Drosophila melanogaster: one gene and its partners. The protein of the gene in region 1 interacts with the protein of each later gene in a pairwise test. Each region holds a gene or a part of one and is shown in the gene's direction. Other genes may lie near its edges. The genes, in order: 128up, Sr-CI and CG6325.

The links.
Region 2: the proteins of 128up (region 1) and Sr-CI interact in a two-hybrid assay, tested with the Drosophila melanogaster proteins (one large-scale study listed by BioGRID).
Region 3: the proteins of 128up (region 1) and CG6325 interact in a two-hybrid assay, tested with the Drosophila melanogaster proteins (one large-scale study listed by BioGRID).

The regions. Positions count from the first base shown.
Region 1 is NT_033778.4:12,034,508-12,040,873, forward strand, and holds 128up (upstream of RpIII128), read left to right. Parts: upstream 1-2,790; 5' UTR 2,791-2,915; coding exon 2,916-2,957; intron 2,958-3,089; coding exon 3,090-3,210; intron 3,211-3,263; coding exon 3,264-4,104; intron 4,105-4,169; coding exon 4,170-4,272; 3' UTR 4,273-4,344; downstream 4,345-6,366. Other genes in the region: CG8321 (uncharacterized protein), read left to right, coding at 981-1,203, 1,269-1,371; CG43191 (uncharacterized protein), read right to left, coding at 1,722-1,876, 1,932-2,060, 2,170-2,580, 2,646-2,658; Polr3B (RNA polymerase III subunit B), read left to right, coding at 4,612-5,494, 5,546-6,366. UniProt on the Drosophila melanogaster protein: Catalyzes the conversion of GTP to GDP through hydrolysis of the gamma-phosphate bond in GTP. Dfd/deformed is required to activate 128up in maxillary segment cells.
Region 2 is NT_033779.5:4,118,552-4,125,739, forward strand, and holds Sr-CI (scavenger receptor class C, type I), read left to right. Parts: upstream 1-3,150; 5' UTR 3,151-3,208; coding exon 3,209-3,428; intron 3,429-3,494; coding exon 3,495-4,032; intron 4,033-4,157; coding exon 4,158-4,927; intron 4,928-4,986; coding exon 4,987-5,348; 3' UTR 5,349-5,602; downstream 5,603-7,188. Other genes in the region: Sr-CIII (scavenger receptor class C, type III), read left to right, coding at 1,812-2,046, 2,104-2,644, 2,705-2,891.
Region 3 is NT_033777.3:10,400,817-10,410,004, reverse strand, and holds CG6325 (uncharacterized protein), read left to right. Parts: upstream 1-2,719; 5' UTR 2,720-2,987; coding exon 2,988-3,155; intron 3,156-3,537; coding exon 3,538-3,659; intron 3,660-3,720; coding exon 3,721-3,834; intron 3,835-3,893; coding exon 3,894-4,138; intron 4,139-4,200; coding exon 4,201-4,856; intron 4,857-4,919; coding exon 4,920-5,619; intron 5,620-5,683; coding exon 5,684-6,357; 3' UTR 6,358-7,038; downstream 7,039-9,188. Other genes in the region: Irp-1B (iron regulatory protein 1B), read left to right, coding at 1-288, 348-1,066, 1,130-1,240; mthl11 (methuselah-like 11), read right to left, coding at 7,051-7,144, 7,204-7,398, 7,452-7,620, 7,680-7,940, 8,008-8,392, 8,460-8,954.

The DNA.
Region 1 (6,366 bases):
ATCCCCGGTGTGGCGGGGGTGGGAATTCAAGGTTGCAATTGTCGGTTGCGTCGTCTTTACTCGCACTTTGTTTATATTCTCGCGTTTATAAATAGTTGAAGTTCGTGTGATCTCATAGCGGTGGTGTTTGTTCCCCCTGCATAAGCCGCCGAATAGCGAAAAAACGTCTATATAAGGAAGGCAAATTGTTTGATGCGCATTAGCCGTCTCATTTGCATACAAACGTACTGAAGACCTTAGAAAAATCGTCAAAGAGTGATTAGTTGCTTCATCTTTGAGGCAAAATGCCATTAGTTAGTTAATTGTTTGCCCAGCGGCTATTAGTTATTCATCTACGCTTAGCTTAACGGTATTTAGCACTGGGCTTTCGTCACGCGACACATACATGTATATTCTAATGTATGTAATATAAACATTAGAAGGTACCGCTAGAAGGCCCAGGAAAATAACGAATTTTACATTTCTGACGATATAGCAATCTTTATTTGCTGCAGGTTTTGCATTAGGGTGGCTCCAAAAAAAGTGCGACAAAAAATTTAATAAAGTTTAACAAAGCTCAAAGAAAAAACACATGTTTAATCAACTATTTGTTAAATAATTCAAACATATAAATTTGATATAAGCAGAAAACAAATTTTATACATTGTCGAGAAAAGAAATAATTAAACCAATACAAACGAATATTTATTTCCAATCTTTCCCATCGGTCCAAATCTATAAAAAGCGCAACCTTGCTATTTATGGTGTAACGAATGGGGTTTCTGTACATTTTTGCAAATTTCTTTGCCCACTAATTCTTTCCATTTAGCCAAATTGCTTTGATTCCCTCATAGCGTACATATCTGACTAATAAATTTGAACCACCCTAGTTATAAACCCAACATTTTGACGTGTTTATCACGCTAGGACTGATAACAGTGAAATCAATAGAACGACACTCAAAATGAGATACTAACGAGCTTTGGGCGTTCTCTTTGCAGTGCCATACATCACGGGCGATTCCATCCAGGTGCTGAGCCACCAGGTGCAGAGTAGGTGGAACGAGACCTTGGTGTGGGCCACCAGGCACCAGCTGGGCTCCAGGCTGAGTCCCCTGCTGTGTGGCCTTCTAGTGGCAGCTTTCGCGTACGGAATCGTGTACTTGGACAGCGCGGTGCCCGGCGTAAATCCCCCCTCGCCCTTTACGCCGCGTTCCAAGAAACGGTAAGCTCTGGGGAAATCACCTTTAATTATTCATTATAACATGGAGTCTTTACTTCAATTTGCAGTTTCCGCGAGGAGAAGACTGCCTCGATGCACTTGGGCTACTTGTGCGCCCTGTTCTGCGGATTTCTGGTCACGGTCTTCATGTACTTCGACTTGTACTCGTAGAACTGAATACCCATTTCCTTCCAATTAGTTCAATAAGTTCACCAGTATTAGACTTTATACGCCCACTTCGGAATTTGTATTTGTTGTAGTCCTTGAAACTGTGCAATGCTCCTGGAGAGAATCGTCAGGGGGCATTTTGAAGCTAACTTATTTCCTAGGTATATTAATTATAAGTTACTAACTCTATAAATTATTCATGATTTGTAAACTACAAAAGTACAAAATGAAACATTTCACTGTTGATTGGAGGCCAGGATCGAAAAGCTTAGGCTAGCATATTTATACCTTGTGAAAAGTACACTATCGCCTGGCCTAAAAATCTCAAGAAAACTGTATCCTTAAAAAATAAATTACTTTTGCATAGTGTTTTGCAATAAAATATACGAGGTAACATTTTCAATGCGCAGAAATTGCTGTTGCCAGTCAATGTCGCTTACCTGGTCAATCTTAAATGTTTTCAAGCGATTTTCGCCAATAAACTGGCCCACGAGATGGACAAAGCAGCCTTTTAATGAATAAAACTTTGGTTATGTAATGGTTATCAGTTTCCTGCATTTTACCTGGGCTCCAAGTACTCATAACGCCTTCGAAATCGTAGTAAATTCCCTGAAGGACGGGCCCCGATTCTTTGTTTCGCACGAGCAAGGTGTGTTCTCCACGTTTTCCCACAATGATCCGTAGCAATTTTCCTGAAAAACGATAATTAATGATTTAACTTGCCAAATTTAGCGATATTAATCATTCTGTTTAAAATGTATATAGTAATTTGATTTTGAATGTATTTCAGTTCAGACCCACCGTAAACATTCCAAATAGCATTAATTTCCGGATACATTTTTTGAGTTTTAAGGCAGAAATCCACGCGACCAATTAAACTAATTAAGTTTCGTCCTGGCTTCAACATCGGGGAGCTTGGCAACTCCGCTGATTCCTTTTTGGCTGACATTTCGCAACTGGATTTTTCCAGAATAATCGGTGATGGAACGTTCTCCTTTTTGGGCTGAACTTTCACAGCTTCCTCCACGAATCCATCGTATATTAGCTTATTATCCTTACGACAGACAGTTAGTTTTGTTTGCCGCAATTGGGTGCTATTTTTGCGCAAAAGTTCAGCGGCCGTTGGAAAACTGCGATTCAATTGCGAGACGTTGTTGGTCAGTTGGCTCTTAAATTGAGCTTGGTTGTTACCCAGAGGGGTGCGCGGTTTAACTGAAACAATGTTAATTTTTTGTTAATTTATAAATAGTTCTCAGTATTTAATTGCGGAACTTAACCTTTAGCAAACATTCTTGCAGCCATCAAATTGTAACGGCTATATTCCAATCAGCCTGACCATTTTAATTTTGTCTAAGAATACTTTTACGATTCGTTAAGTGTTGGCTAACGTTGGGAATCGACCACATTACTGAACAAATCGATTGTATCGAATACATATCGATTGCACCTCCAACTGTCCACGCGAGAGTTTTATATATTTTATTTTTACATGCATATTTGTTGATAACTGGGGTTTTCTGTGAACCGCGTTTAACTCTCAGCCAGCCATGAGCACAATATTGGAGAAAATCTCGGCCATCGAGTCGGAGGTGAGTGGAACTTGGAGTACCTGCCGATCTTACAGAAACTAACCTGTCTCGCATCCATTTACCCCGCGGATTCCCCCCTGGATTCTATCTAAATCACCGGGTTGTTGGACCACCTTCTCAACTGAATCCTAGATGGCCCGAACCCAAAAGAACAAGGCCACCTCGGCCCATTTGGGTCTACTGAAGGCGAAGCTGGCTAAGCTGCGACGCGAACTGATTTCCCCCAAAGGAGGCGGCGGCGGAACCGGCGAAGGTAGGCTCTTGGATATATAATTCAGGCAATCACTAAACATTATGTATTTCCAGCTGGCTTCGAGGTGGCCAAGACTGGAGATGCCCGGGTGGGATTCGTAGGGTTTCCTTCTGTGGGTAAATCCACACTGCTCTCCAACTTGGCTGGCGTTTACTCCGAGGTGGCGGCATACGAATTCACAACGTTGACCACTGTGCCGGGATGCATTAAGTACAAGGGCGCTAAGATCCAGCTGCTGGACTTGCCCGGTATCATTGAGGGCGCTAAGGATGGCAAGGGTCGAGGTCGTCAGGTGATTGCTGTCGCTCGCACCTGTAACCTCATTTTCATGGTGCTGGATTGCCTGAAACCGCTTGGCCACAAGAAACTCCTCGAGCATGAATTGGAGGGCTTCGGCATCCGGCTTAACAAGAAACCACCAAATATCTACTACAAGCGGAAGGACAAGGGTGGCATCAATCTGAACAGCATGGTTCCGCAGTCCGAGTTGGACACGGATCTGGTGAAGACCATTCTATCCGAGTACAAGATCCACAATGCGGACATCACCCTGAGATACGACGCCACTAGTGACGACCTCATTGACGTTATCGAGGGCAACCGCATCTACATACCCTGCATATATCTGCTGAACAAGATCGATCAGATCTCCATCGAGGAGCTGGACGTCATCTACAAGATCCCGCATTGCGTGCCCATCTCGGCCCATCACCACTGGAACTTTGACGATCTGCTGGAGCTGATGTGGGAATACCTGCGACTGCAGCGCATCTACACCAAGCCCAAGGGCCAGCTGCCCGATTACAACTCGCCCGTGGTACTCCACAACGAGCGCACCAGCATTGAGGATTTCTGCAACAAGCTGCATCGCTCCATTGCCAAGGAATTTAAATAGTGAGTGCGCTTCACTTTCCCTCTGTTCCCTTGGTTATAATAACATTTATGTATTTCCTTCGTAGTGCGCTGGTTTGGGGCTCATCTGTGAAGCATCAGCCACAGAAGGTGGGCATCGAACACGTTCTCAACGACGAGGATGTGGTCCAGATTGTGAAGAAGGTTTAGACTCTGTGCAACGATAACACTTTGATTACTTGATGGCATTTTTTATTCGAAAATAAAAAACGAATGTGCTTTATGTGTGCGTGGATTTAAGGCGGCTTAAGTTTAAGAAAACCCTCTAATTTTTATTTTATCAAATTTTTTAATTGGCGCGCACAGAGGTAATTTAAATAAATTAAAGCTAGATTTAGCGGGAATTAATTTCACTGCCAGCTCTATGGGAATAACTTTGCTATCACTTGCCCAAGTATATCGATAACCGATAGGTAAAGAAACCGCATATCGAAGAACCTCATAGCACGCTGTTTTGTTGACAAACTTAAATTAAATTATTATAACGAAATGGTGGAGCTAAAGATGGGCGATCACAACGTGGAGGCCACCACCTGGGATCCCGGCGACAGCAAGGACTGGTCGGTGCCCATTAAGCCGCTAACGGAGAAGTGGAAATTGGTGCCGGCATTCTTGCAAGTAAAAGGATTAGTGAAGCAGCACATTGATTCCTTCAATCACTTCATCAACGTGGACATAAAAAAGATTGTGAAGGCTAACGAGCTGGTTACCAGTGGAGCTGATCCTTTGTTTTACCTAAAGTACTTGGATGTGCGGGTGGGCAAGCCGGACATCGACGATGGCTTCAACATCACCAAAGCGACCACACCGCACGAATGCCGTCTGAGGGACACCACGTACTCCGCCCCCATCACCGTGGACATCGAGTACACGAGGGGAACCCAGCGGATCAAGCGGAATAATTTGCTCATCGGAAGGATGCCCCTCATGCTGCGCTGCTCCAATTGCGCCCTTACCGGCAAGTCGGAGTTCGAGCTGTCCAAACTGAATGAGTGTCCACTAGATCCTGGCGGCTACTTTGTGGTGCGAGGTCAGGAGAAGGTTATCCTCATTCAGGAGCAGCTGTCATGGAACAAGATGCTCACCGAGGACTTCAACGGTGTGGTGCAATGCCAGGTTACCTCCTCCACACACGAAAAGAAGTCACGTACTTTGGTGTTGAGCAAGCATGGAAAGTACTACCTCAAGCACAACTCGATGACGGACGACATACCCATTGTGGTGATCTTTAAAGCTCTGGGCGTAGTTTCCGATCAGGAAATTCAATCGCTAATTGGCATTGACAGCAAATCGCAGAATAGATTCGGTGCCTCTCTAATAGACGCCTACAACCTGAAGGTCTTCACACAGCAAAGGGCTTTGGAGTACATGGGTAGGTTTGTTTACCCTAGTTAAATTTTGTTCTTAAAATACCTTTTTTTAGGCTCCAAGTTGGTGGTCAAGCGTTTTCAGAGTGCCACCACAAAAACGCCATCGGAAGAGGCCCGTGAGCTGCTGTTAACTACCATTTTGGCGCATGTGCCTGTGGACAACTTTAACTTGCAAATGAAGGCCATCTATGTATCCATGATGGTGCGTCGTGTTATGGCCGCCGAGCTGGACAAAACGCTCTTTGACGACCGCGATTACTACGGCAACAAGCGACTGGAGCTGGCAGGTTCTTTGCTCTCCATGATGTTCGAGGATCTGTTCAAGCGCATGAACTGGGAGCTTAAGACCATTGCGGACAAAAATATACCCAAGGTGAAGGCGGCGCAGTTCGATGTGGTCAAGCACATGAGGGCGGCACAAATCACAGCGGGACTGGAGTCTGCTATCAGTTCCGGCAACTGGACGATCAAGAGATTTAAGATGGAAAGAGCTGGCGTAACGCAGGTTCTGTCCCGTTTGAGTTATATCTCAGCGTTGGGAATGATGACGCGTGTGAACTCGCAGTTTGAGAAGACGCGTAAGGTGTCGGGACCCAGATCTCTGCAGCCCAGTCAATGGGGTATGCTGTGTCCCTCGGACACTCCAGAAGGTGAGGCCTGTGGTCTGGTCAAAAATCTGGCTCTGATGACGCACATCACCACCGAAGTTGAGGAGCGACCCGTTATGATAGTGGCTTTCAATGCTGGCGTGGAAGACATACGAGAAGTGAGCGGTAACCCCATCAATAACCCGAATGTATTCCTCGTCTTCATCAATGGTAATGTTCTGGGTCTCACCTTGAACCACAAGCACCTGGTGCGGAACCTTCGTTAC
Region 2 (7,188 bases), on another chromosome or scaffold:
CAAATTAAATAACGACCTGGACTGACGGAACACGGCAGGACACGTATAGTCGAGGAAGTCGACTTTTCTTGTTTTTACTTTTTGCTATAATTAATTAATACGCTCATAAAAGAGGACTATTCATTTCCATCCCAACAGATTACATTCTAAGGTAAGTTCTATAAATGGTTAGCAACAATGTGCCAATTTGATTCCCTGCGTTGCTATGCCAGGCATTTCCCGGAACTTTCTACCTCTTGGAAACAGCCCCGTTGACCTTTGCCCTATCTAGCGACCTTCCCTGCCAACAGCTGCTCATTTGCCGCTAATCCTGAGACCTCTGAAAGGATTCCTAACATCCGAACCACCTTCATTGCCCGGCAACTACAAAACCAGCAGTCCGGTGGTTGAGCTTCGTAATTTGAGCGCAAATATTGAAGTTTCAAAACCACTGGCAACAGTGGCTACGCCGCAAATAAAAGAATAATAATAATAATGAGCAAATATTTAAGCAGCCGGGAACTTATCAGTGAAACAGCGGCAGTCAGCGGCCAAGCTGCCGATCAGGATACACCGTAAAAAAAAAAATAAAACATTCCGCATTAAAAAATTGTTTTTCAATTTTTATCGGATGCATTGCAAAATGTACATAAAAACGCAAATAGTGGTATATTACTTCTGTTGGAATTTTAAATTTAACATACATTTTGTTTTGATGTGGCGCTGCCTAACATTTTTCAGTGCACTCAGAATTATGTTCGCTTTTAAGAGTCCCACAGTTAGAAACCTCCCTTAAGTTCCATCCCTTTCGTTTTCCTTTGCACTGATTGTAATTATGTATGAAATTTGAATTGCTTACATTGAATCGGGAAATCGGAGAAAGGGAATTCGCTACACTTTCCGTTGCATTTCGCCGGACACGTGGCAGTTCCTGATCCCCGGTCACGTGTCCTTCGGCACCCCAACCCTACCATTCCCATTCCGCCCATTCCGCCCCAATCCGCGCTCATCGGAAGTGCCAATAAGTAGTTGTCAATATTGACTGATTATCTCGACACTACGAAAGTGGGGGGGAGATTTGGAAAGAGATGCGGAGAGAGCGACCGTCATGATTGCGAGTTGTTTGAGTCTTAAGCGGAAGTAAACATAAATCACAGCAAGAAGCGCCACCCGAACCCTCGACAATCATTTTCCAGGACCTTCCAACAGATGCCCATTTATTTAAGCTTGCAGGCGACAGGAAGAAGATGCTTCTATTTAGTTCCATCTCCATGGAATCCAATTCCGACCGGAGATGCGAATAATTGCATTTGAATGGCGTCCCAGGACAAAACGATAAAGCCAGTTTAGTGGTGTTATTTGGGGATGAACTAAACGAATAATTTATCATTCACTGATAATAAGATATCGCCCAAGTTCAACCGATCTACGGATTTCCCATACCTTTTTCGGAACAATACAATTTATCAGCCCTTTTGCAATATCGTGCAGCATTTCTACAAGTATTCAAGTGTACATTTCATTTTATTCAAACTAACATATGGCAAGACCCCACCTACTATTTAGAAACATTTGGAACTTACCGTATCATTTCACATGTTCTGAAAGAAAAGAGAAGTGTTTATTTATTATAAAATAAAAGTGTATAAAGTAAGCAGCGGTTGGTTCAATATTTGTAGAAGTAAATATAATGTGGAAATACGCAAAAAGTAAACGATAAGATTTTTTGAGATTTTTGGTACAAAAAAGTTGATAGCAGATAAGGAAACGTAAAAATTTGTATTCAAAAGCTTTACTCAGTTCAGTCGTTATTTAGCATCCAAATTTATACAATGGCAATGGTTTCTGTAGAAATTTTGTGGGCACTGAGACTATTTATGATATATATGGTGATCCAATCGATTGCCAGTTGTGAGCCCGACATTTTGTTGCGCAACGGAAAAGTTACAGAGTTATCTAGTTGGCTCCTAGGTGATAGCATCAAGTTCGAGTGCAATCCCGGATTTTCTTTGCAGGGAAAGACGTGGCACCTTGGCAATGGAAATATGATGAAGCGTTACTGCGCCAGTGAGTTAAAATGAGTAATAAAACTTAAAATATGTATATATAATGTAAAACTTTCAGAAGCGGGTTGCAATGATATTGAGAAACAAGCCAACGGAACCATTTTGACGGCCACGGATGGCTTAAAGGCGGAAATCGAATGCGATGATGAATTTGTTCTTAGCGGAAATTCCTTTACCTACTGCAATGGAACGAAGTGGATCATCAAGCTGGGAACCTGTCAGTTGGCCAACAGCGTCGGTGACCATTCCTGTGACTTCGAACGTGAGGATATGTGCGGTTGGAGGGCCAGCAAAGCCATACCCCAACCATGGAAGCGAATAAGTGCTGCGGCAGATTTTCTCAAAGAAAAGTGCCTGCAACAGGATCACACATTCCAGAGCGACGTCGAAGGACACTTTATTCGCTTGCAATCGCAGGTACACGCTTCCAGAACCTACCACTTCATATCGCCGATCTATCCCAGGAACCTCACGGTGGGCCATTCCTTATGGTTTCAGTTCGAACTCTTTATGTTTGGTTCGGAAGTAAGAAACCTGACGATCTCCGTGAAACCCTCTTCAATGGCGGTCGAGGATATGTGGAATAGTTTCAGAAATATGTAAGCGATCTATCCAAATCACTTTAAAATGCTTTAAATACATCTTATGTTATTCTCCAGCTGCACCAAACTCACCGTGTCTGGCGATCAAGGCCCAAACTGGAAAAGCCAGTCCATCTCCATCGACGAGATGGAGTCGGACTTCCAGGTGGTCTTCACAGTCGTGGACCCAAGTTCTCTCCATGGAGACATTGGTATCGACGATGTAAAATTTATAAAATCTGAAACCAATGAACCACATTCTTAACAAGGACGAGTTGTAAAATCTATTATCATTTTGGGCTTATAAGATTTACCCATAGTATAAGTTTAAAAAACGTTTATAAGTGCAGCGCAAGAAAATAAGACGCGATTTAAATCTATATTTATATATATTTGTATAAAATTAAGAGTGAATTAAGAATGAACAATATAGCGGTTATCTGCTCTTCGACTTCAACCATCTTGTAATTGTATGAGTCCCGCTCTTCGTTGCTCCGAGTGATGTCGAGCTGCAATCGGACTCTCAGTCTTTTGACAGCCTTCGACCGTATCTATACATTAAGTTCGTAATATCTCTGCGGAATGGAATTTTTCTGGACTCTGGCTGTGATTGTGATATATTGTATAGGTCACATTCATGGACGATGTGAAAGATCAATAGATTTGGATAATGGAAGTATAAATTATCGACAGAGAAATGTGGTGAGATTCAGATGCAATCGCGGCTACACTTTGCAGGGAACAGTAATGCAAACTTGCGATCGAGATGGTCGCCTTCGAGGCGAAAAACCATTCTGTGCCAGTAAGAGCCACAAAATCGATATAATCTAATGGTTTTACTGAGTTTCTTGCATTTTTTCAACATAAGGTAGGGGATGTGCGAGGCCCGAGGATCCGGAGAACGGACACGTCGAAAATCTTTCCCTAAGGGCGGATGTCGTGTGCCACGATGGCTATGTCTTGGTCGGTGGTCGCACTGCCTACTGCGATGGAGAAAGATGGAGCACCCAGCTGGGATCGTGTCGAAGGAGCAACCACACAAGAGATCATTCTTGCGATTTCGAGAGCGAGGATCAGTGCGGTTGGGAGGCGGAGACAACCTTCCGACGACCCTGGAAGCGAGTCAGCACGGTATCCGATATTCACTCCCTAAGAACGGGACCCCGCCACGATCACACGTTTAAAAACGAATCCGGTGGTCATTACATGCGCATGGAAACCCAAATGGGGGCTTATGGAAGCTACCATCTGCTATCGCCGATCTATCCCAGATCCCTCACCCTGAAGACCGCCTGCTGCTTTCGATTCCACTACTTCATGTTTGGCGCTGGTGTGGATAATCTGGTGGTGTCCGTTAAACCCGTTTCGATGCCAATGGCAACCATGTGGAATAGGTTCAGAGCCAAGTGAGTTTTGCCGGAGCGGAAGAGGTTTTAGATTAAAGGTCGCAGGCAATGAGATAAAAGTGGCAAAAAATTCCGAAAGCATGGCAACAATTATACTGATTGCTTCTGTTTCTGTTTTATCTTAGTTGCAGCAAATTTGAGATATCTGGTCAGCAGGGAACCCAGTGGCTAGAGCACACGATCAGCATTGACGAGATGCAAGAGGACTTCCAGGTGATATTCACGGCAACGGATGCAAGATCCCAATTCGGAGATATTGCCATCGATGATGTAAAGCTAATGACAGGCAGTGAGTGTGGCACAAACGGATTTAGCACCACCACAGAACCAACGGCTCCGACAGGCAGCAACGAGCAACCACTGGTCTACGATATGATGAGTTGTTCAGGTCGATGCGGAACATCAATCTCGGCCTCCAATATAACCAACAATGGTATAGTCATGGGATGTGGGTGTAATGACGAGTGCCTTTCGGATGAGACTTGTTGCCTAAACTATTTGGAGGAGTGCACAAAGGAGCTGCTCACCACGACCGAGGATGATATTAGTTCCCTGCCCCCAACGGTCACATCAACAAGCACAAGCACTACGAGGAAGTCAACGACAACAACAACCACAAGCACAACTACTACAAGTACAACAACAACTAAAAGGCCAACCACAACCACAACAACAACAAAGGCCACAACTACAAAGCGAACAACAACCACTAAAAAACCGACAACAACTTCAACAACGCCGAAGCCAACAACAACGACTTCAACCACACCAAAGTCTACAACTTCTACAACGTCTACAACTTCAACAACACCAACGACAACAACTACAATAAATGTGTTTACAACAAAGAAAACAACAATAATGATCCCTACTTCCAGTACCGAAAAGACTACAGGTAAGACTTAAGCCTTTTTTTTATGATTGCGTTAAAAGAAAATTAATATGATAACCTAGGCATCAACACCACAATGAAAACACGGAAGCGCATCACTTGGAACGTTGATCCTCAGGACATCGAGGGTCACATGGACACGAGCGGAAGTACCCCCAATCCAGCTTTAGTAGTACTTTACCTGCTCCTCGCCATTGTTCTGGTGGTAGTTCTGGCCAACGTCGTTAATCGCTGGATAATACCAATCACTGGATCAAAGACCAGCAGCGAAAAGGCTGTGAGATTCAAGAAGGCATTCGATAGTCTGAAGAAGCAACGGAAAAGAAACAGCATGGATGATCAGCCGTTATGCGACTCCGATAACGACGATGTAGAGTATTTCGAGGAAATGGGCGTGGACATACGACATAGGACCGATCTATGAGGGTAATCCCCAGTGATACCAAAACAAACGCTTAGGACTGTGCCTATTGTATAGGATGTTTCTAAATGTGTATGCAAGAATCGAATAAAAGAAAATATGCAACGCCCACTTTCCGGATAAATTGCAACGATAATTTTGTGCTCACATTCATGACTTTATTGCTTTACACTTTTGGTGCGCTAAACAATTGTTTGTAAATAAAATGTGCCAAACAACTGATACGAGATCCCTTACAGAACATATGCCCTTGGAACACCAAATACTAAAGAATTGCGTCATTTGTTGATTTGAATGGGTAGTGGATGTCTTATCGACCAAGACGTCGTGCTGTAAACTCTTGACACTTATGTCGGTTTGCGTTTAAAAATGAAATGAATTATAGTATAAGAATAGGGAGAAAGCAGATTGTATACAAAAGCGCTCTAGTTTTGAATTCAAAACCTTTTTTTAAAGTGATAAACTTCAGTGTATGTTATTCATGATAAAACGCAGCATTGTTGCTCAATGCGCCATTTAATTTTTGTTAAAAGTGCCTTCAAGGCCTTCGATCCCCCTATCGGACAAACCCCTAAGAATAACTATGTGAATAACCCAATCAAATTAGGTTATATTTTGTTTGCGAAAAGGGCAAGAAAATTGAATTCGCGAAAGGCAGGTGGGAAGTAGCTGATATATGTATGAGGCCGGAAAGTTAACTCCTCGAATATGAATCTCTTTTGGGCGCATTTAACGAGCATTGAAGGAGTTCCGCACTTTCCCCGATCTCCATCCATAATCAAATCTTGTGGGGAGTGTCAGTTACTAGGAAATGCCCTCCGGCTCTAAGTTCCTGCGGATTCTGATGCTGCTGTCTGTCAGTCACCCCATACCGTCCACTTTCACCGACACCCCCCCCCCCCCACCTTCGATTCCGGGTGTTGCACGTGTCCTGCCAGCGGCTGTTGCAACCACCGTCTGCCATCGTGCAAAAAGAAAACGCTGGAGACCCAAGGACCCAATAACCTAACCGAAAACCCAAGCCAAAGCAACCACCAACAGAGTTTTCCGAGTTTTCCGGGGCAGGCTCGTGTTTTAACAGCGGCTTTCGGTTGTGATTTACTGGCAGCTTAGCGTCTGGCACGGGACCAGTTACCAGTAACCAGACAACCGCTATCACACCCCTTCCAATGCACTGCACGAAATAGTTGATACTGAGAAAAAATAGAATAAAACCTTCAACGTAAACTTCTTTTTTCTTTATGATGAAACGTGCAATAACTAGATTATCTTTGGTTTCCAATTAATTTTTCCCATTTTTTTTTATTTTTTTATATAAATTATAATCGTTTTGTTCTCCGTGTAAGAACGATTTGTGCGGCGCTCAGCAGAATTATTTTTCTGGGCATTTTATGCAATTATAGCTCCTGGCCAGACGATTCCCAGACCGAAAACCCCAACGCAAGCCAACGAAATAGCTAGAGTTTGCAGGCTCAACAAAATTTCACACAAGATTTTCCAGCTTTGAGTTTTCCGCAGCGTTTTGCATGCACCCTTGTCCGATATTTAGGATTTTCCCCTCTAAAGCTCAATTTTTTCATGACTTCCTGTTTGCCATTGTGATTTAGCGCCCACCGTCGCTCTCTATCGACTTCTCACACATCATTTGGCGGCGAAAATTTTCCTGTTTTTTTTTTTCCCCGTACGCTTCGGGTTTTAATTAAAAAGGCATTTTGATGGCCCAGACAGGGGGCGTGCCTCGAGTTGCTGTTGCCGCATTTTCACCCTAATGCTCATTGAGGCCCTAATTAAATGGTAAGTAAGTCGGCTTATCTGCAAACTGGTGGGGTTAAGGATGGTTGAG
Region 3 (9,188 bases), on another chromosome or scaffold:
TGAACACCATCGAGAAGAACGGCCTCGTGTGTGCTGGAGTTTTGTCCGGAAACCGAAACTTCGAGGGTCGCATCCATCCCAACACCAGGGCCAACTATCTGGCCAGTCCTCTGTTGGTGATCGCATATGCCATCGCAGGACGCGTGGACATCGACTTCGAGAAGGAACCTCTGGGAGTGGATGCCAATGGCAAGAATGTGTTCTTGCAGGACATCTGGCCAACGCGATCGGAGATACAGGAAGTGGAGAACAAGCATGTAATCCCCGCCATGTTCCAGGAGGTGTACAGTGAGTACTTCGTGCGCCATCTTTATTTGAGTTTGGTTTAATTTCACTTCCATCTGCAGGCAAAATTGAGCTGGGCTCCCAGGATTGGCAGACTCTGCAGGTGTCCGAGGGCAAGCTCTTCTCCTGGAGTGCCGATTCCACCTACATTAAGCGACCACCCTTCTTCGAGGGCATGACCAGAGATCTTCCCAAGCTGCAGAGCATTCAGAAGGCACGTTGCCTGCTCTTCCTAGGCGATTCCGTCACCACGGATCACATCTCGCCGGCTGGATCTATTGCTAGAACCTCGCCTGCTGCCCGATTCTTGTCCGAGCGGAACATCACACCCCGTGACTTCAACTCGTACGGATCGCGTCGTGGCAACGATGCCATCATGTCGCGCGGCACCTTCGCCAACATTCGGTTGGTCAACAAACTGGTCGAAAAGACAGGACCCCGCACCGTGCACATTCCCAGCCAGGAAGAGCTGGATATCTTCGATGCCGCCGAGCGGTACCGCGAGGAGGGTACTCCTCTGGTCCTCGTTGTAGGCAAGGACTACGGCAGCGGAAGCTCTCGGGATTGGGCCGCCAAGGGTCCCTTCCTGCTGGGCGTCAAGGCGGTGATCGCGGAGTCCTACGAGCGCATTCATCGTTCCAACCTGGTGGGCATGGGCATCATTCCGCTGCAATTCCTGCCGGGACAGAGTGCCGAGACATTGAACCTGACTGGCCGGGAGGTGTACAACATCGCCCTGCCAGAGAGCGGTTTAAAGCCGGGCCAGAAGATCCAAGTGGAGGTAGGCTATTGGAAACCTGGTGCTAGCGATTTTGGTTATATTAATGAACTATCTTTTTTCAAGGCTGATGGCACCGTCTTTGAGACTATTCTGCGCTTCGACACTGAGGTGGACATCACCTACTACAAGAATGGTGGAATCCTCAACTACATGATTCGCAAAATGCTCTCTTAAGCAACTCATCTTATTTTGTTTTTATATATGTATATTCCACATGCATTTCTACACTGTAAATTGTAGTTCCCTAAGTTTTAAATTGTGGTGGTGCTTCCCCAACCTGGTCAAACCAATAAAGTAAGCCCTTATTCTTGGTATCTAATTAAATTGGGTGTACTTTGTTTTTCTGGGAAATGAAAGATTGATTTCAATGAAAATATTTTAACTTATTTCGTTTTATGACAAAAGAATTTAGTTTACAATATATTTATCCACCAACCTACTTTATTTCACTTTTGTACTTACTTTTCTGATTAAGCTTAAAAACTTGATCCAAGAAATTCAAATGTTTTATATACAGATTTTTTTATATATTGGTATGATTTAAGGTTTCCTGTTGAATAAATTTCGCTCTCATGAGATAAACAAAGCCCAGTGATGCTTGAAGTGTGACAAAACTGAACTGTGTGTATCCCATAAACTGAAACCGAAGGACCTTTTCATCCAGGATTCACGCAAGGCACTCGGATACTCGCATTCGGATCTAGGCTGTTTACAAAAGAGCTATCTAAAAGAAACAGCAACTGTGATATGTGAAAAATTCTTGGGTAAAATCACGGCTACTATTTCCTTAGATAACTCGATATAAATTCAGGACGCGATCGAAGTTCCCGAGGCAATTGTGGTCAACAATTATGTATGATTTTAACTGATTCCTCGGGGTATCGAAGTACCTCGATTTACCAACCGCGACACGTACTATTCCAGAACTAAAACCTGAGAGTTAGCCATCCAGCTCTTATAAGCACGGTGCAATGGCCGCTGCCAGCGCATCAGGTTTCCTGGTCGATCGGTTCTGATCCGAATTTCCATTGGCTAAATTTGCTGATCCCGGCAATTGGCGTTCTGTTTTGCTGGCATGCTCGACATTTTTATGCCGAATTACCAAAAATTTTGAAGCCCGCTGCTGGGTTTCTTCATGACTGCACTTTGTTCAGCTCTAAAACCCGGCGCACTGAACCCGGCATCAGTTTTGCCGGTTATAGGATCGGCTCTTAAGGGGTTGCGGTGGGGCCACGGGTGGCTTCCGCAAACGAATTGACCCACAAATACGCCCTGGGGTCAATGAACAAATAGTCACGTTGTGGGATTCAAGAACATGCATATTTTGGGTCATTTGCATGAGCTCATTTTAATTTTTCCACCTCAATATGCTGATTTGTCATCGAAACTAAACCAATGTAGTTACAAATTAAAATATAGAACATTATACAAGAATTCCCTAAATTCGTTATGTACCGTACCAATGGAATGTGTTTATTCACTTACATACAAACAAAAGTTAAATTTAATTCATAGCTACAGAAACTAGCATTTGAACAAACCGCCCTTGAAGCTCTATCTATCGATAGTTCAATTACGATTCTTGATTTTGTTCTTATCGATAACTAATGCTACTGGCATTGTTGTTGATAGTATCGAACCAACATAGATTTTTGTTCCAGCTCTAGCGGTTGCAGTGAGATTTAGCAATTCGGTTTATTTATAACGAAAAGGCGATGATGCTGTAATATTTGGACCCTCAAGCGGTGGTTGAAAAGGTCCAGAGTCCGATGAGCACCACTGGCGCTACACGCCAGTCGATCAGAGGCGCTAGGACTCAGGACACAGCCGCATTTCGGCCGGAGCCGGAGGAACACGGACGATATTCAGGAGACGAGACAGTAGGAGGAATAAATTAAGTCTGATTTTTAACGATTTGGATATGGAGACTGACTACCAGAACTACGTGGAGTCGCTGTCGGGTGTGTCCTCCGACGAGGACGACTTCTCCACGGTGGACAGCTCGGACGAGTCTTCGGAAGAGCCAGTTCCCACGCCATCATCAATCCCAAGGACACGAAATCTGGTGCAGATGCTCTACGACAGAGAGGTGGGTCCAGTTGAAAGATTATATGCAATCTAATCTGCCCTCTAATTTATTTTAGAGTATTTTAATCATTTTGATCAGACAATAAAATTATGCAAAACCTATAGGGGGTTAACTTTTCAGTTCAAGGTCTACCCTCTCATTTTAAGGAAAAATTGTAGTTTTTGTTTGACTGATTTGCAATGAAAGTGCATGAGTGCATGAGAGTTCAATTCTCTAAAGTTAACTTTATAAATTAATATATAAAGGATTTAATTTAAGAAACATCAGAATTACAAAGATACATGCGCATGACTAACTTTTGATAGTTTTACTAATATTAGGAACAGAGCTATACTTAGCCAAAGGATGTACGAATTAAACATACTTTCAATTCTCTTCTCAGCGCACTGGACACTTCTCAGGCTCCTCCAGGGCTGGCCAAAAGCAACAGCTTCCTTACGTCAGAGTGCCAAATAGGTTAAAGTTATATCTTAAGGATGTTATGGCCAGCAATTTGATGGAGGGGTAAGATATTCGAATAGTCATATTTTTCAATCTTCTGTTCATAACCTGAATATCCATGCAGACACATTTTCATGGGTCTAACTGCCTGCGGCCAGTACATGCTAAGCCATCGGGTGATGTGCAACGACAGCTCTTCGCTGAACCACTACTCCTTTAACATGGGCTACAAATACACGTGAGATCCATATTTTTCAACATATCCTATCATAAGGTTAATAATAATTTTCTCCAAAGTCTGTACTTCTGGCTTTTCCAACCGCACAAGAGGCTGCGCCACTTTTTCTCGCGTCGCCTCTTTGACGATCATGTGGTGGACAACATAAAGACTGTAACCATGACGCAGTGGAAAAATGCGCAGCACCAAATCCTAGTTGTCCACGGCGCAGCCACGGAGGAGGGTGAAGATAGCTATATCACATATGTCAAAGTTCCTAAACTGGGTTGCTTGGAGTGCAAGAAACTTAATGACGACGGTCCATGTAGGTGTTAGAAATTAAAACTTTTAGATTGCCTGTGATCCTAAGCCCTTTTCCGCCATTAGATTCCTTTTACAATGCGCACTGCCTGACCTGTCACTTAACAGTGCACACAAAATACTCCTCGACTGAAACTGATCCGGCTTTCGATCCGAAAATAAATCTGCTTTGCCCGGAGCGCATTCTGATTATCTCCAATGGATTTATGCACATGCTGCGCATCGATATGGACACGCCGGCCGTGACCTCGGGGTACCTTCCCCAGCAGCAGAGCCTTATCTTGCCCAGTCTTCAAGCGCAACCTCAATCGCAATCTTTCTTGCTACCCAGATCGATTTTGGCCAGCGAAGAGGATCGCTCCTCAGCTGCATTCACAGGTTCCGGATCGGAGGCAGAGTCTTTAAATGAACAGAGTGTTGTGGCCCGCATAATTGCCGACTTTAGCGACATTGAAACCGAGCAGCGCTCTAGTCAACCCGGTCATAACCAAAATGAGTCGCAGTCCGGGAGCAACGTTTACTCTTCGCCAAAGGCATACGATAAGCTAATTTTCACGCCACATTGCAGTCCAACTCTGGTTACGGGCCCTAATAGTATGACTCTGCCGGAGACCACGCTGCCGGTCACAAAACCACTTGTCAACGAATCTAGTCCGCCACGCAGGCGCAACCATCGGATAGTCACTAAGTTCCGAAATGGCATTACAACCATTGATTTGCAGGTGGGTTTCATTTAAAGAAATTTGCCTAAGTACACCGGATAATACATTTTACTTTTTTCTTAGAGCCCTCCCATTGCCAATTCGATGACGGACAAATCGAATGCATATGAATTCTCAGAGGACAACGAGAAGTACGAAAAGATATCCACTTTCCGAAAGCGACGTTTGGCGGAAAAGAAATATGAGTTCTCGGAAGACAACTCGGAGAATATCATACCTTTTACCAAGGTGCGATTGGCGGGTAGGGCTTTCAACGCCTCCACTGCCAGCACAACGTCTCGCAGCTTCCATCGTTTTTCGCCCACGGCACACTTCTTTCACAACTCGCCCTGTGCTTCGCCCTCCTCTTCGCCACATCCCTCCCAGCCGGCACAGACGCCTCCGCATCTGGGATTCCGTTCACCACCGTCCAGTTCCATGCTAATGCGTTCGCCAAGTCGGAATGCAAACTCGGCTCAGATGTTTAACCAGAAATCGCCACCATTATCCCAGGCCACACAGCAAATGCTTAGTTACAAGCCAGTGGGTCCACTGGGAGCACTTTCTCCACTCCAGATGTCGTTGGCCAAGCGTTTCGATATGGGTGGCTCCATGTCCCCAAACGCTGGATTGAGCTTCCTGTCACCGCGACGCGATGAGCCACGTATTGTGGAGATGCCTGTGCAGGGCGGTGTAATGCCAGAGAAGCCTGTGTGCACAAAGAAGCTAAGAAGACGCTATGTAGAGGAGGACGATGCAACCTCCGTCATCACCAGCGAAGAGGGTAAAAGAATTCTTTTTAAAGTATAGTATATAATAATGTCAATTGGAATCTGTTCTCATATCAGACGACTGCATATCACCGGGCTATCACACATCGCTGCCAATGGAAGTGCACGGCTCATGTTACTCGGAGATGCAAATGATTTCACAGGCGTCGTATCATCGGCTGCGCTGTAGTAGCGTCGTAATCACCCAGCACTCGTTTGATCTGGAGACCTTCACGTACTACGTGATCAGCCTTCTGTGCCAGAAGCATCAGAAGATCTACAACGTGTTCTACGACTGGGCGTATGAGGTGATCAGCGTGTGTCCACTTAGTCAGACTATCGTCTGCATGCTGACGGCCCAATTCTCGGCGCGGGATCAGCCGCTGGCGATTTGCATACACTGCACTGGCCGAATGGACTGTGTTTTTCACAACAGGCAGTACGAAAGCCGCATCTTGTTCACCTGGAATATGGAGAGCGGTCAATGGCTGGTGCTCGATTATGGTGAACTTAAAGAGGTGCACGAGCAGTTCAACCCACTAAAGCGGCTTGGCAAGGCACGGCTCACGTTTGCCCAGATGGCCAAGAAGATGGGTAAGGAGATGGCCGTCAGCTTGGGTCTAAACCTGCCCGACTACACCTCTAATCTGCGCGTGCTCAACTCGGATATCCGAAAGTCCAAGATGTTCATCAGTGATCTCGACAACATGGTAGAGTTCCACTTAAAGCGCACACACCACGAGACACTGTGAGCGTATTTTTCAGTTTGACCAAATACATAGACAGCCTGGTAAAAAAAAATAATGTTATAGAAAAGCTGCAAATATTTAAACACTACCAATCTTTAAAACCCTTAAAGCAAACTTCTTGGTAATTCGAAATATTACAGTTTTTACATAAGGGAAACCATACATTTAAGCAGTTTTTAGTTTGCAAAACTCGATAAGGTTGCGTGCATCTAGTTCAGTTCTAAACACAAACAACGTGTGCTGTATTTAGTATTTAGTTACCTATACCTTACTTAGTGCAACGAAACGCTTTTCAAAAACATGAAACGCGTCCTTATTTCGACTGAAGTCATTTAAGTAATCTACAACTTAGTTTTAAGATACGGAGCTTGACTTCTAACCTGCTCATACCTCCACATGCATACATATACGTACATATACTTTTGATATTCGAAATTTCGATTCAACTATTAGATTTAATATTAGTTAGCAATATCTTTTGAACTGCGGTACGAGTAATTTACGTACCGATTGATTTAGTTCCATGCTTCACTGAAGGAGCATGTGGAAAATATACATATGTAATCAAGCCTAGGAACTACGTTTCAAGATATTAAACATAAGAAATACAATTCAAGATATTGTTCAGGAAGTCTCCAGTCCTCTAAAGTAATGAAGTGATGGCAAATAAAAGTCAATTCAGTTACTTAATTTTTCTCATTTCCCTAATTCTACGTCGGCCATTTTCTCAGATTCCACAGGACGGCTCGTATTGGTCAATTCTAAGGAAGTAATATTTCGGTTTTGGATGCTGAAAGAATGCAAATGATCATTTGAAAATCTTAGGGTGTACTGTCACAGAAAACCCACCGCTTGCGTATTAGCCTAAACATTTCGTGGTTGCAGAATGTAGCTACAAATATTATTATACCCTGACTGCAGTTTATGTAATCGTTTAGAATAATTAAGGGCTTCCACATATTCTCCATCTCGCATATAAAGGCAATAATTTCGAGAAACCAACTTCCGCCCATTATGATAAACAGGCGAAAATATATTCGATAGCTGGAAAAAGGGTAATAAGTATGTTTTATCAGGAACAATATATTGCTTGGTACTTGGCATGGTTCCTGGAAAGCTTTTGCGGTTCGCTGTTATTTAGCACTTTCTGATTTTGTTTGTTCTCCACGTAAATATATCGGGTTGTTAGAAAAAAACTTGCACAGTTTAAAATTATTAGGATTGCCAGTGGGGCGTAGAAATAAAACGTTGCGGACCATCCATTGGCTGAAAATAATTTAATATACTCATAATCAAAAAGTATAGTAGACAGTTTTTTAACTTACTAAATATCCAACAAGAAAATACTCCTACTGCAGGATTATACGGGTTATCTAAATTTGTTTCAACAAATTGATCCACTAAAAAAATGATGCACGTTAAAAGTCCAGCAGAGCTCCACACGATAATATTGTAGTTAAAGAAACTGCTCCTTTTGTTCTTGTAGAAGACCTGGAACTTTCGCATGGCGAATCTTCTCCAAACATCGAAACTTATGACGGAAAGCCAGAGAAAAGTGGCCATTACAGTGAAGTAGCCAGCATATCCTGCAATTCTCAGCCAGTATTATAGATATATATTTAATATAGTGATGAAAGAACTTCATTTGGTTACCGGTGAGATAGCAAATTGGGGTCTTCAGCTCAAATATTCCAAACAGGCTGATGACATTCAGTAAAAAAGTGATGGCCAAGCAGATGAAGTACAGATTGCAGCACTTGCCATGGAGCGATCTGAATTTTGGCAGCCAAAGGTACGCCGCAATTGTAATGACCATAAAGAAGACGGAGCTGAACTTGACTGGAATGGAAGCATTCGATAATCTGGATTTCCGCACACATTCAAACCTACCATAAGCCATTTTCATAGATGGTTTTTGAATGCAGTTGAAGGCGACAATGAGGCTGTAGTTCTTACCGGTACTTGTCGGATTGGGCTGCAGGCAAAACTCCTGCTTTGAAAGATATCGCTGATCGAAGTGCCGGAATAACGATCCATTCTGAAAGTATTGGTTCGAGTGTATTAAATATTATGATACTTAATATTTGATGTTTTGAGTAACCCACTTCATATAGTGACCACATATCGTATGTGGATGTCTCCGCATCCAATGAATAGTGTCTCTCGCAGGGAAGTGGCAGATCCTGCTGCACGACCATGTCATTTAAGACATGTTTCTTTATCACCGATCCGTTGAGTTGTGTTATGTCCAGGGTGTATTCGTAGGTAAGGTTTTCATATACGTCTTGGGAGCACAAGTTGCCTGCCATTAGCTTTTTGTGGTGGCAACAGAACCGGATGCATGTCTTCAGTTTGCAGACACAACCACGAATGTGTTTGGGAACCGAAACTCTATCGCCATCGTAATCAATCTCGTAGTCATACTTTCCGGTTAGTTTGGCGGGAATAACGACATCCTCGTATCTATACGATCCATTACATAGTTTTTCACTTTCCCTTAACTGAACCGTATCGAAAAAGTCGCAGTTTGGAATATCTCTGGACCGAACACCAATCACAAGGATACCTAAGAGTAAGTACTCAACTCTGAACATTCCCATTGTGATTTACTTTAATTTAACGAGTAAGTTCTCCGCTCTGCCGACTTTTTAGTGTGATAGCTCGACTCGCAATAAATGTTCGATCGCAAGAGGCATCTTAATCGCATTCTTGCAGGACGGAAAATGGTTATAAATAAGTTGTACAAGAAAATTGCTTACAGAGAACGGCGATTAGTCGTTATATACAACTAGCTACATTTGCATGTTCTTAAATGCTATACTCAAGGATACTCG